3 linked regions of the Macaca mulatta genome follow. The protein of the gene in region 2 purifies or fractionates together with the protein of the main gene of each other region. This does not show direct contact. Links are inferred from orthologs where the notes say so. Each region holds a gene or a part of one and is shown on either strand. Other genes may lie near its edges. The genes, in order: CCNB1, PTCH1 and GRK2.

Region 1 (3,530 bases), on a different chromosome or scaffold from region 2:
GGGGAAAGTATACGTGCTCTAGAATGAATGTGCGGGTGGCTGAGAGAATGCTACAGACATCATAGCCTATAATGTATACAATAGTATGAAGGGCTGTTTTGGAGGAGAGGCCAAACTTAAAGTGAATAGGCAGAAGGCACATTGGATTAGCATTTAAAATAAAGTCACTCTTGTCCCCCACAGTTCTTAGCTATGTTGCTATTGGGCTTTAACCCTGGAGCAGGCAGGAGTGTTGTAATAGATGGGTTCCAGCTGCCCTGGGAGTTTGATATTTTCTCTACGTAAAGCTCAGGTTCTAACTTTAGAGGCTCAAGTGAAAAGATCTGAGATGATAGTATAGTATCTTTATTTGGAAGGGAGTGGACTAGCAAGAGTTGTGGTGAATTGAATATCGTAAGACCTGACAATATAAAAAAGCTGTCACACTGTCCTATCTAATGTTTGCCCTTTTTTGGCGGGGGGGTGAAGGGGGAACAGTCTCTCTCTGTCACCCAGGCTGGAGAGCAGTGGTGCAATCTCGGCTACCTGCAACCTCCACCTCCTGGGTTCAAGCAATTCTCCTGCCTCAGCCTCCTGAGCAGCTGGGACTACAGGTGTGCGCAACCACGCCCAGCTAATTTTTGTATTTTTAGTAAAGAGAGGTTTTGCCATGTTGGCCAGGCTGGTCTCGAACTCCTGGCCTCGAGCAATCTGCCCATCTCAGCCTCCCAAAGTGCTGGAATTACAGGCATGAGCCACCACGCCAGCCTTAATGTTTGCTTTCTTTCTTGGTGATGGTGTTGTTTGTGGTGACCATATGAATAATTGAATTAAGAACTGATACAAAGGCTGGGCACAGTGGCTCACGCCTGTAATCCCAGCACTTTGGGAGGCCAAGACAGGTGGATCACGAGGTCAGGAGATCGAGACCATCCTGGCTAACACAGTGAAACCCCGTCTCTACTAAAATACAAAAAAAAATTAGCCAGGCGTGGTGGTGGACGCCTGTAGTTCCAACTACTCGGGAGGCTGAGGCAGGAGAATGGCATGAACCCGGGAGGCGGAGCTTGCAGTGAGCCGAGATCGCGCCACTGCACTCCAGCCTGGGCGACAGAGCGGGACTCCGTCTCAAAAAAAAAAGGAACTGATAGAGATTCTAAATGCCCCAGTGCTACTTACTGTAGGAACTAACTGATCTTTCTGGACATAAATGTGTCACATGGAGTCATGTTTCTAAGAATAATCGGCATTTTCTTTTGCAGGAAGAGCAAGCAGTCAGACCAAAATACCTACTGGGTCGGGAAGTCACTGGAAACATGAGAGCCATTCTAATTGACTGGCTAGTACAGGTTCAAATGAAATTCAGGTTGTTGCAGGAGACCATGTACATGACTGTCTCCATTATTGATCGGTTCATGCAGGTAAGCATTTCAGTAAGTTTTCCCTTCCAGGATTCTAGCCGAGTCATAAGAAGCTGACGTTTTTGGGCTGGGCCGGGTGTGGCGGCTCATGCCTGCAATCCCAGCGGGTGGGTGGATCACGAGGTTAGGAGATCCGAGACCATCTTGGCTAACACAGTAAAACCCCGTCTCTACTAAAAATACAAAAATCGGCCGGGCGCGGTGGCTCAAGCCTGTAATCCCAGTACTTTGGGAGGCCGAGACGGGTGGATCACGAGGTCAGAAGATCGAGACCATCCTGGCTAACACGGTGAAACCCCGTCTCTACTAAAAAATACAAAAAACTAGCCGGGCGAGGTGGCGGGCGCCTGTAGTCCCAGCTACTCAGGAGGCTGAGGCAGGAGAATGGCCCGAACCCGGGAGGCGGAGCTTGCAGTGAGCTGAGATCCGGCCACTGCACTCCAGCCTGGGCGACAGAGCGAGACTCCGTCTCAAAAAAAAAATAAATAAAAATAAAAAAAAAATAAAAATACAAAAATTTAGCTGGGTGTGGTGGCGGGCGCCTGTCGTCCCAGCTACAGGAGGCAGAGGTTGCAGTGAGCTGAGATCGCGCCATTGCACTCCAGCCTGGGCGACAGAGTGAGACTCCATCTCAAAAAAAAAAAAAAAAGAAAGAAAGAAACTGACTTTTTCAGCTAAAATCTTTCTTGGGGGATATGGTATCATTAATTAAGATTTTGCAATGGGAGAATGTCTTTCTACCTCTCCATCATAGCTCTGTGTCTCCTTTTCAAACATGTTATTCATTGTGTTGAAATTCCCATTGCAGAATAATTGTGTGCCCAAGAAGATGCTGCAGCTGGTTGGTGTCACTGCCATGTTCATTGCAAGCAAATATGAAGAAATGTACCCTCCAGAAATTGGTGACTTTGCTTTTGTGACTGACAATACTTACACTAAGCACCAAATCAGACAGATGGAAATGAAGATTCTAAGAGCTTTAAACTTTGGTCTGGGTCGGCCTCTACCTTTGCACTTCCTTCGGAGAGCATCTAAGATTGGAGAGGTACAGGTTTCTTAAGAAACCTTTCGGTATGGGTACATTAGGGAACACTGCTGCTGACCAAGCAAGTCGAATTCAACTGACCTATATTATACCTAACTACATGGGGAAGAGAGAAAGTTGTTCTTTATTTTTAGTCAGGCTGCATGTTAATATTAGGGCTTTCCGTGGGCATTTGAGAGTTTGTAGACAAACATTTGTAGTTAAAAGATACATATGGGCATGCAGGTTAGTGCCAAATGAAAATTTTCTGAAAGAAACTCAGTGACACGGGTTTTGTTTCAGGTTGATGTTGAGCAACATACTTTGGCCAAATACCTGATGGAACTAACTATGTTGGACTATGATATGGTGCACTTTCCTCCTTCTCAAATTGCAGCAGGAGCTTTTTGCTTAGCACTGAAAATTCTGGATAATGGTGAATGGGTAAGCTCTGTCCCACAGAACTCCTAAGCTTTTAAATTGTAAAGAATGTTTGACTAAATACAGAACTTTTGTTATTAAAGGGCAATTCAAGTGATTCATAAATATGGGATCTACTGAAGGAATAGTTTAAAAAGATGTCATAGAATGTTTCCACATGGTTTTGTTTTTGAGACAAGGTCTCGCTCTGTCGCCTGGGCTGGAGTGCAGTGATGCAGTCTTGACCCACTGCAACCTCAGCCTCCAGAGTAGCTGGGACTGAAGGTTTCTGGCTAGTTTTTAAATTCTTTTCATGTCAGACGGGTAATATGCCCACGTTGTAACAAGGTTTGAGGGTGGCACATTTCACACGTTCACATGAACACCCAATCATCACACTTATAAACTACAAGAGTCGCCCACCAGCCTGGGCAACGTAGCAAATCCTCATCTTTACAAATATATATATATATATATATATATATATATTCAGGTTGTTGCAGGAGACCATGTACATGACTGTCTCATCTTTACAAATATATATATATACACACACACAAATATATATATATACACAAATATATATATATACACACACAAATACATATATATACACAAATATATATATATATATATATATATAGGCAAATGTCTGTAGTCCCAGCTACTCTGGAGGCTGACCTTTA
Region 2 (4,131 bases):
TGAGGAGGCCCACAACCAAGAACTTGCCGCAGTTTTTTTGAATGTAACAACCCAGTTTAAATAAGAGTCTCTGAAACTTCGCTCTCAGCCACAGCGGCGCTTTCCGGCCAGTAGCCTTCCCCTGGGGACGAAGCAGAAGGGAGGAGTGAGCGCCGGGGAGTCGCGGCCCGCGCGCCCACGCCCGGTCGCGCGCACCCGCCCGGTGAGCCCCCAGCAGCCGTGGGGGCGCGGGTGGCCGCGGCACACGGACTCGCCCTCGAGGCTGCAGCCCTGGCGGACCTGAGCGTCATGGGGGGGGGGCGGGCTCGGTCATAAATCAAATCCGGGCCGCAGCGTGGGAGCTGCACCTCGGGGACATCAGGGCGCCCCCACCCGCGGGATCCCTGAGTACGACCTGGGGCACTGGGGCTGCAATACAGGAGAAGAGGAAGCCGAGGTAGAGAGGAGAGAAACCACTAGACACAGGCAATATTCACCCCAGACCTGAGAAGGGAGGGGCTGCGTAATCCCAGCGATGGAACCCAAGGTTCAGGAGCCAGCAAACCAGTCCTGCTCCGTCCATCACCCTCGGGGACGGGCGCTAGGGGCGAGCGCGCTTGGGAACAACATATTGCGGGTTCCCCCAACTGGACCCCCGCCTAGAGTGGTAGTAAGTGGGGATCCACGTGGTGAGCGCGGCCGCCGGAGTTCACTCCCGACGCTTTTCCACAGCGTTGGAAGAGGCTGTGTGAGCTGAATTAGGAAGTGGGGCAGCCATCTGCAACTTACGACAATATTTGTGATCGGAAGAGGGCGGCCACATGGATCTTTCCCTCCTCTCCCTTCCTTTCTGGTTAAACGTAAAAAACAGCCGAGTGCACAGGGAAGGGCCCAGGCCGGCGCAGGCTGCTCCCCGGCGCGGCGTTTCCCCGGCGCTGGCCGCGGCCCCGGCGGGCCCCCGTCTGGGTGCTCGCCTTCCCCGGATTCCACACATTTCAGCGAGCCTCGTAAACACAATGAACCCGGCCGCTCCGCAGACTCGCACCGCGAATTTAAGGTGGCAATTTGTTTACAACTTTCCCTCCCCCTACCAGGCCCTGAGGAGAGGCGGCTCAAAACCTGGAAAACACGGGGAATGTCTTTTTCCGAGAATAATTTTTTAAGGGAGCAGAGATTTCATGCTCAACAAAAGCAAAACCGGCTGCCAAAAAAGGAAACCACCTTTATTTCGGCTCCCTCCCCCCTTCCTCTCTCCGCCTCTCTCCACTCCGCCTCCCCCTCCAAGATGTTAAGAAATGTGGCAGCATTACAGGGGTTTAGGCTGCAAATAGGAGCAGGGGCGCAGGAGGAGGGAGTTCCAGGGCAGGGGGCACGGGGCAGGGCAGTACCACGGCCGCCTTTGAGGTGGTCCGCCGTGGACGGCTTTCCAGTGCTCCGGAAAAGGCACGCCGGGGAGGGTGTGTGTACACACACACACACACACACACACACAAGCACACACCTCCACCCCCTGCGGACCTGAGACAGCCCTTTCCTCCCAGGACTAGAGGGAGGGTTTGAATTTTTCAATCCCCACTTGTCTGCTGCTTTTCCTGGAGAGGTGTGAGTGTGTGTGTGTGTGTGTGTGAGAGAGAGTGTGTGTGTTTGTGTGTGTGTGTGTGTGAGAGAGAGTGTGTGTGTGTGTGTGTGTGGCGGGGGCGATCCCAAAGAGTTAGAGGAGGGAAGAGAAAGTGGGAGGAGAGGAGAGAGTCTGAAATGCACCTTGGAAATCTGCTCCAAAGCGAAGGCGGCGTCGCAGTAGCTGGGCCGGTGCAGATAGTCCCGGTCCGGCGCGGCACCACGGCGCAGCCCCCCCGTCCGTCTGCGCCTCCCACCTCCAGCCGGCCGGCCCGGGGCACCGATGCAGCCGCTGCCGCCGCCGCCGCCGCCGCGGTCCTGGGGCTCGGCGACGTTACCAGCCGAGGCCATGTTGCCGCCGCCGCCGCCGCCGCCGCCGCCGCCGCCGCGGGGACGGAGGCTTCCCGGGCGGCCCGGCGCGCTGCTGCCGCTGCTGCGGGCTCCTGGCGCGCCTGGGCGCTCGGCTCGCGAGGACGCTGCTGGCCGCAGGCTGCTCGGGCTCGGGCTCCGGTTGACAGACCAGCCGCTGCTGCTGCTCACACGGCGGGCGCTGCTGCCGCTGCGGCCGCGGCCGCTGCCGGGGAGTCAGACCCTGCGCCTTCCATTGCCACATTGCGCGGGGGTCCCGAGGTCTCTGCGGCCGCCGCTGCCCACATCCAGTTCGCGGGAGGGCGAGAGCCGGCGCGCCGAGCGAGCCTGTCCTTCGGGCGCTTCCGCGGCACTCCTTGCGGTCCCCAACACCCCCTACCCGCCCCCCGCCCCGCGCCGCGACCCCTTCACTGCAGAAAGAGCCAGCGAATCCCCGTCGCTCCCGCCGGCCGCGCTGCCTCCCTCGGCGCCTCCCGGGTCGCCCGAGCGGCCGCGGAGGGCAAGCGCAGAGCCGCCGCCGCCGCGGGGTCCGAGGGTGCCCGGCGGGTCTCAGCGCTGCCGGGCCGGGGCAGCCGCCGCTGCCGCTGCTCCCGCGGTGGCTGCTGCTGGCGGTGGCGGATCCAGGAGCTGCTGCTCGGGCTGCTCGGGCTCTGGCTGCTGGGTTCGCGGTGGCTGCTCGGTCCCGGACTCTGCTTTCTTGTGCTCCTCGGCAACCCGCTGGACCATTCTGTCCCCGTGCAGCGCGCCTCTCTCGCTCCCGGGACCTGGGGACTCCGCTCTGTGTGTGTGCAGCGGGCAGCGGCCGCAGCAGCTCCTTGATTCAATAGATGAGATGGAAGAAGAAAAAAAAGAACTCTCTCCATTTGGAGAAAGAAGAGGAGGAGGGGAGGGGGTGGAGGGGGAGAGAGCGAGCGAAAGAGAAAAAGGCTGGAGCTCCCGCCCCCGGGGCTGTCAGATGGCTTGGGTTTCTGCGACGCGATTGGCTCGCGGAGGGCAGAAATTACTCAGCAAACATGACTATTATTAGCTGCTTAGCAACAGCTCACCAAAGTAGAGAGACCACCCAGGTAGGCAACCCAGTGTGTGCATCCCCGGCTTCGGGGCAGCCTCTGAGAGCGCCAACCTTCTCGCATGCAATACTTCCATTAAGGAATGCTCCCCCTCCTTTCTCTCTTATTCCTTTTCTTTTCAACAGTGTCTTCTTTTTTGTGGGATGCCCTTTGCGCGCACACACGCGCGCGCACGCACACACACGAACATTTGCCTCGCGGTAGACACGGGGGGAAATGTAATATTTTTTTAAGCGCTTAAACAATTTCTGAAATTCCTCAAAGAAAAGCCTTTCAGAGGCACCTTGGCCTCAAGCTGCAGCAAATACTGGGAGGTCCGGCTCGCATTCCCAGGCCTGCACCAATAATGACAGCGTGCTGGATAGTGCGCCAGTGTGTGCCAGATTTTTTTTTCCTCCTCTCTTTTCTTTTATAACTAAAGGGAAGACTTAGGCTCTTGCAGGGAACAACGCCTCGCATTAAGATAAACAGAATGGAAAGTTAAAGAGGAAAGCAAAGACGTTGGGAAAAGCCACCCTTTCTTCAAATCCGTCTGCCCTCCCCCCGCCGCTTTCTCCCCCAACTTAAAAAAAAAAAAAACCGACAGTACAGTCTTGGTTTGAAGGAGTCAGTGTTCTATAAACGTGGAATCCAGACACCGAAGCAGTCTTGTAGAGGCAGAGGCGTTTTTATTTGAATCTCGAATGTGACATAAGTAAAAGAGAAACAACAGAATCCTTTTTTACAACTCAGAGAAACGTAATTGCTTCCTTGAGAGAGTAAAGTTTTCCTGATTATTTTGGGTTCATTTGTACCCCCCTTTTTATTAACCAGATGTTTATACAGTAAGTTTTTTACAAAACCCGGTATGCATGTTATATTTAATAATAGTATGACGTTGGAGATTATAAATGCCCGATGTTGGATTCATTCAAAACAAACTGTGCGCGGATCGCGAGGGTTTGTCCCGACACCGCGTCCAGTGTCACCAAGACATCCCGGGGATTCGCTTCCCGCGGAGGAGGAAAACACGCGACCCTTTGAGGTGGATCCTGGAGTCAGACACCTCTACACAACTAGGCTTTTTATTTTTTAAAAATTTTGTTTTCGGAAAGTG
Region 3 (4,149 bases), on a different chromosome or scaffold from region 2:
CACTGACCCCTACTCTGGCCTCCGAGGCAGACCTCCTGCCCCTAGGCTCTTGTCCTCCCCTTGCTGTTGGAGCACCTGACAGATGGAAGCTGCGCCCCATCTGTCCCTCTGCCGGGGGCTTGGACCCCTCTCTCCCCTGAGCTGGGATGGGGTCGAGGGCTCTTCCTAAGCCCCTGCTAATGTCCCACTCCTCTCTAAAGGCTGTGGAGCTGCCCGACTCCTTCTCCCCTGAACTCCGCTCCCTGCTAGAGGGGCTGCTGCAGAGAGACGTCAACCGGAGACTGGGCTGCCTGGGCCGAGGGTGAGTGCCCTGGCGCCTTGGGCATGCTGCCGGCTGTGCCCCCATGAGGACAAGGGCTGTGTCCCGTCACCTGGAACCCCCTCCAAGGTCGCAGCCTCCTTGGAGGAGCTCACAAGTTGGGGCATGGCCAGCCCTGTCCAATGTTCTCAGGGTGGAGGGGCTGCCCTGGGGGTTGGAGCTGCTGGAACCAGCTGGTAACTGGCTTCCAGAGGGGCCCTTGTCACAGACAATGATAATAGCAGCTTTTTATGTTTATTGAACATTTATTAAGCACTGGGCATAGGGTTGCAAAATTTACCAATGTTAAAACCCACAACCCTATGATGTAGGAACTTCTGTTCTCCCATTTGAGAGATGAGGAAACAGCTCAAGCTTAAGGAACTTGCCCAAGTTCACAGAGCCAGAAAGTGGCTCAACCAGGAGTTAAGCCCAGGGCTCAGGGTGGGGCTGAGCCCAGATGACTGGCCTCTCCCCGCAGGGCTCAGGAGGTGAAAGAGAGCCCCTTTTTCCGCTCCCTGGACTGGCAGATGGTCTTCTTGCAGAAGGTAACAGTCTGCGGCAGGGACTGGGGGTGCTCTGCAGTCCCACCCCCGAGCTAATGCCCTGTTCTGCTGCAGTACCCTCCCCCGCTGATCCCCCCACGAGGGGAGGTGAACGCGGCTGACGCCTTCGACATTGGCTCCTTTGATGAGGAGGACACAAAAGGAATCAAGGTACTGGGCCTTGCCTGGCCTCTTGTACCTGGGCTCTGATCCTGGCCTGGGGGAGGATCCCTGTCCCTTCTTATCACCCGTGAGACCCTGTGCCAGCCCTGCCAGCTTGTAGGCCTCAGCTCCTCCTCAGCCAACTTCCCTGGGGGTGGCAGTTGCACTGACCATCCCTACCCAGGGCCCTGGGTCTGGGCAGCCTGTGGCTGATGGTATTCCGGCATCTCTGTCCATTCATGTGCCCCTGCCCCATCCACCTGGTAAAGTTACTGGACAGTGATCAGGAGCTCTACCGCAACTTCCCCCTCACCATCTCGGAGCGGTGGCAGCAGGAGGTGGCCGAGACTGTCTTCGACACCATCAACGCTGAGACAGACCGGCTGGAGGCTCGCAAGAAAGCCAAGAACAAGCAGCTGGGCCATGAGGAAGGTGAGGGTCGCCGGCTGCTGCGGCACCAGGCCCCTGCCTGCTTAGAAGGGAGCAGCTGGCTCGGGTTTAAGGAACTCGCCCTGGATCACAGCCAGAAAGTGGCGGCTCTGGGATTGAAACTCAGGCTGGGGCCGGGCGTGGTGGCTCACGCCTGTAATCCCAGCACTTTGGGAGGCCAAGGAGCGCAGATCACTTGAGGTCAGGAGTTTGAGACCAGCTTGGCCAACATGGTGAAACCCTGTCTCTACCAAAAAATACCAAAAAAAATTAGCCGGGCATGGTGGCACGCGCCTGTACTCCCAGCTACCCGGGAGGCTGAGGCGGGAGGATCGCTTGAACCTGGGAGGTGGAGGTTGCAGTGAGCCAAGATTTTGCCACAGCCCTCCAGCCTGGGCAACAGAGTGGAGACCCTGTCTGAAAACAACAAAAAAGAAACCCAGGTGGGGCCGGCTGAGTCTCCTCTGTCTCTCACCTCAGACTACGCCCTGGGCAAGGACTGCATCATGCACGGCTACATGTCCAAGATGGGCAACCCCTTCCTGACCCAGTGGCAGCGGCGGTACTTCTACCTGTTCCCCAACCGCCTGGAGTGGCGGGGCGAGGGCGAGGCCCCGGTAAGGAGCCCGTGCGGGGGTCTGGGAGCTGGGCTTCCAGGTGGCCGGCCGGCCCGGCTCTTACCCGCACCACCCATCCCTGGCCCTGCAGCAGAGCCTGCTGACCATGGAGGAGATCCAGTCCGTGGAGGAGACGCAGATCAAGGAGCGCAAGTGCCTGCTCCTCAAGATCCGCGGTGGGAAACAGTTCGTTTTGCAGTGCGACGTGAGTGGGGGCTGGGCTGGGGGTGGGAGGGCCAAGGGGCCAGGTCAGGCAGGCTGGGGAGAGCCCCAGCTAACAGAGCTGGGCTTGGCATGTGTAGAGCGACCCTGAACTGGTGCAGTGGAAGAAGGAGCTGCGTGACGCCTACCGCGAGGCCCAGCAGCTGGTGCAGCGGGTGCCCAAGATGAAGAACAAGCCGCGCTCGCCCGTGGTGGAGCTGAGCAAGGTGCCGCTGGTCCAGCGCGGCAGTGCCAACGGCCTCTGACCCGCCCGCCTGCCTTTTATAAACCTCTAATTTATTTTGTCGAATTTTTATTATTTGTTTTCCCGCCAAGCGGAAAAGGTTTTATTTTGTAATTATTGTGATTTCCTGTGGCCCCAGCCTGGCCCACCTTCCCCGGGAGGGGCCTGCTTGCCTCAGCTCCTGCTGCACCAACCCAGCCGCTGCCCGGCACCCACCGTCCTGACCCCAGGGGCTGCCCACTCCCAGTGTCTTCCTGTGGGGGAAGAGCACAGCCCTCTCGCCCCTTCCCTGAGGGATGATGCCACACCAAGCTGTGCCACCCTGGGCTCTGTGGGCTGCACTCTGTGCCCACGGGCACTGCTGAGTGGCCCAGCCTCCCTCACTGGGGTGGGCGCAGCACAGGGATCCGACTGAATTTTCCCACTGCACCCCTCCTGCTGCAGAGGGGCAGGCCCTGCACTGTCCTGCCCCACAGCGTTGGTGAGAGGAGGGGCCTGTTGTCTCCCTGGTCCCCAAGGCCTCCCACAGTGACTCGGGCTCCTGTGCCCTTATTCAGGAAAAGCCTCGGTGTCACTGGCTGCCTCCACTCCCACTTCCCTGACACTGCAGGGCTCGGCTGAGAGGGTGGCATTGGCGGCAGGTGCTGCTACCCTCCCTTCTGTCCCCTCTTGCCCCAACCCCCAGCACCTGGGCTCAGGGACCACAGCAAGGCTACTGTGGGTTGGGCCATACTGGCCTCGCCTGGCCTGAGGTCTCCCCGATGCTGGGGCGGGTGCGACCCCTTCTGCCCAGGACGGGGCCGGCCAGGTGGGCGGGCAGCACATCAAGGAGGCTGGCTGGGGACTGTCAGTGTGCCCCCCACCCCGGCCCATCAGTGTACCCTTGCCCAGGCTGGCCAACCCCACAGCCCACGTCCTGTCAGTGCCGCCACCTTGGGGCGCCGCCTCGCCCACCGCATGCCCCCTCGTGCCAGTCACGCTGCCTGTGTGGTGTCGCGCCTTCTCCCCCCCGGGGCTGGGTTGGCGCACCCTCCCCTCCCGTCTACTCATTCCCCGGGGCGTTTCTTTGCCGATTTTTGAATGTGATTTTAAAGAGTGAAAAATGAGACTATGCGTTTTTATAAAAAATGGTGCCTGATTCGGCTGTCTCAGACTCTTTGTACCTGGTGACTGCTTTTCAGCCTCTGCTGGGCTGGGGCCTGAGCGGGAGGGTCTCGGTGGTACCAGGTCTCCACCACCACCACGGCTTCCAAGGTGGCCTGCTGGGGCCCAGGCCATCTTCCAGGTGGGGTGAGGCAGTGAGTCCCACTCCCCGTCCTGCCCTTCCCAGCTGGCAGTCCTCCCGCCTAGTGGCTGTCCAGTGCCCATTCCTCACCTTTTCTCAGGGAGGAGAGAGCAGCTTCTGCCACTTACCAGGTAAGTAGGAGGAGGTGCCAGCAGTGTTACATCTGGTGCAGTGTCTGGGCTGACTGCGACCTTCTCAGGCCCACAGAACACCCCTGCACAGCAGGCTCCAAGCTGACGCCCCTCCCCAGAAACAGTCACAAGGCATGTCTGCTCTCTAGATCGCGCCGCAGGCCCTTGGCCATCTCTGGCTTCAGCCTCCTCTCTGTTCTCACTGCACAGCCCTAGTAGGGGTCCCTGAGGCCTGAG

Evidence for each region.
Region 1: the proteins of PTCH1 (region 2) and CCNB1 purify together in Homo sapiens (affinity purification with western blotting; 3 studies listed by BioGRID and IntAct, with this or other methods). This does not show direct contact. The link is inferred for Macaca mulatta from reciprocal best matches to the Homo sapiens genes PTCH1 and CCNB1.
Region 3: the proteins of PTCH1 (region 2) and GRK2 purify together in Homo sapiens (affinity purification with western blotting; 3 studies listed by BioGRID and IntAct, with this or other methods). This does not show direct contact. The link is inferred for Macaca mulatta from reciprocal best matches to the Homo sapiens genes PTCH1 and GRK2.

The regions. Positions count from the first base shown.
Region 1 is NC_133411.1:77,240,184-77,243,713, forward strand, and holds part of CCNB1 (G2/mitotic-specific cyclin-B1), read left to right. Parts: intron 1-1,241; coding exon 1,242-1,400; intron 1,401-2,208; coding exon 2,209-2,445; intron 2,446-2,727; coding exon 2,728-2,868; intron 2,869-3,158; exon of another isoform or gene 3,159-3,260; intron 3,261-3,530. UniProt on the Homo sapiens protein: Essential for the control of the cell cycle at the G2/M (mitosis) transition.
Region 2 is NC_133420.1:127,945,272-127,949,402, reverse strand, and holds the start of PTCH1 (protein patched homolog 1), read right to left. Parts: upstream 2,805-4,131; 5' UTR 1,948-2,804; coding exon 1,741-1,947; intron 1,048-1,740; exon of another isoform or gene 769-1,047; intron 122-768; coding exon 1-121.
Region 3 is NC_133419.1:7,100,210-7,104,358, reverse strand, and holds the end of GRK2 (beta-adrenergic receptor kinase 1), read left to right. Parts: intron 1-200; coding exon 201-301; intron 302-779; coding exon 780-846; intron 847-918; coding exon 919-1,014; intron 1,015-1,274; coding exon 1,275-1,437; intron 1,438-1,914; coding exon 1,915-2,051; intron 2,052-2,142; coding exon 2,143-2,256; coding exon of another isoform or gene 2,257-2,278; intron 2,279-2,332; coding exon of another isoform or gene 2,333-2,353; coding exon 2,354-2,518; 3' UTR 2,519-3,634; downstream 3,635-4,149. UniProt on the Homo sapiens protein: Specifically phosphorylates the agonist-occupied form of the beta-adrenergic and closely related receptors, probably inducing a desensitization of them. Key regulator of LPAR1 signaling.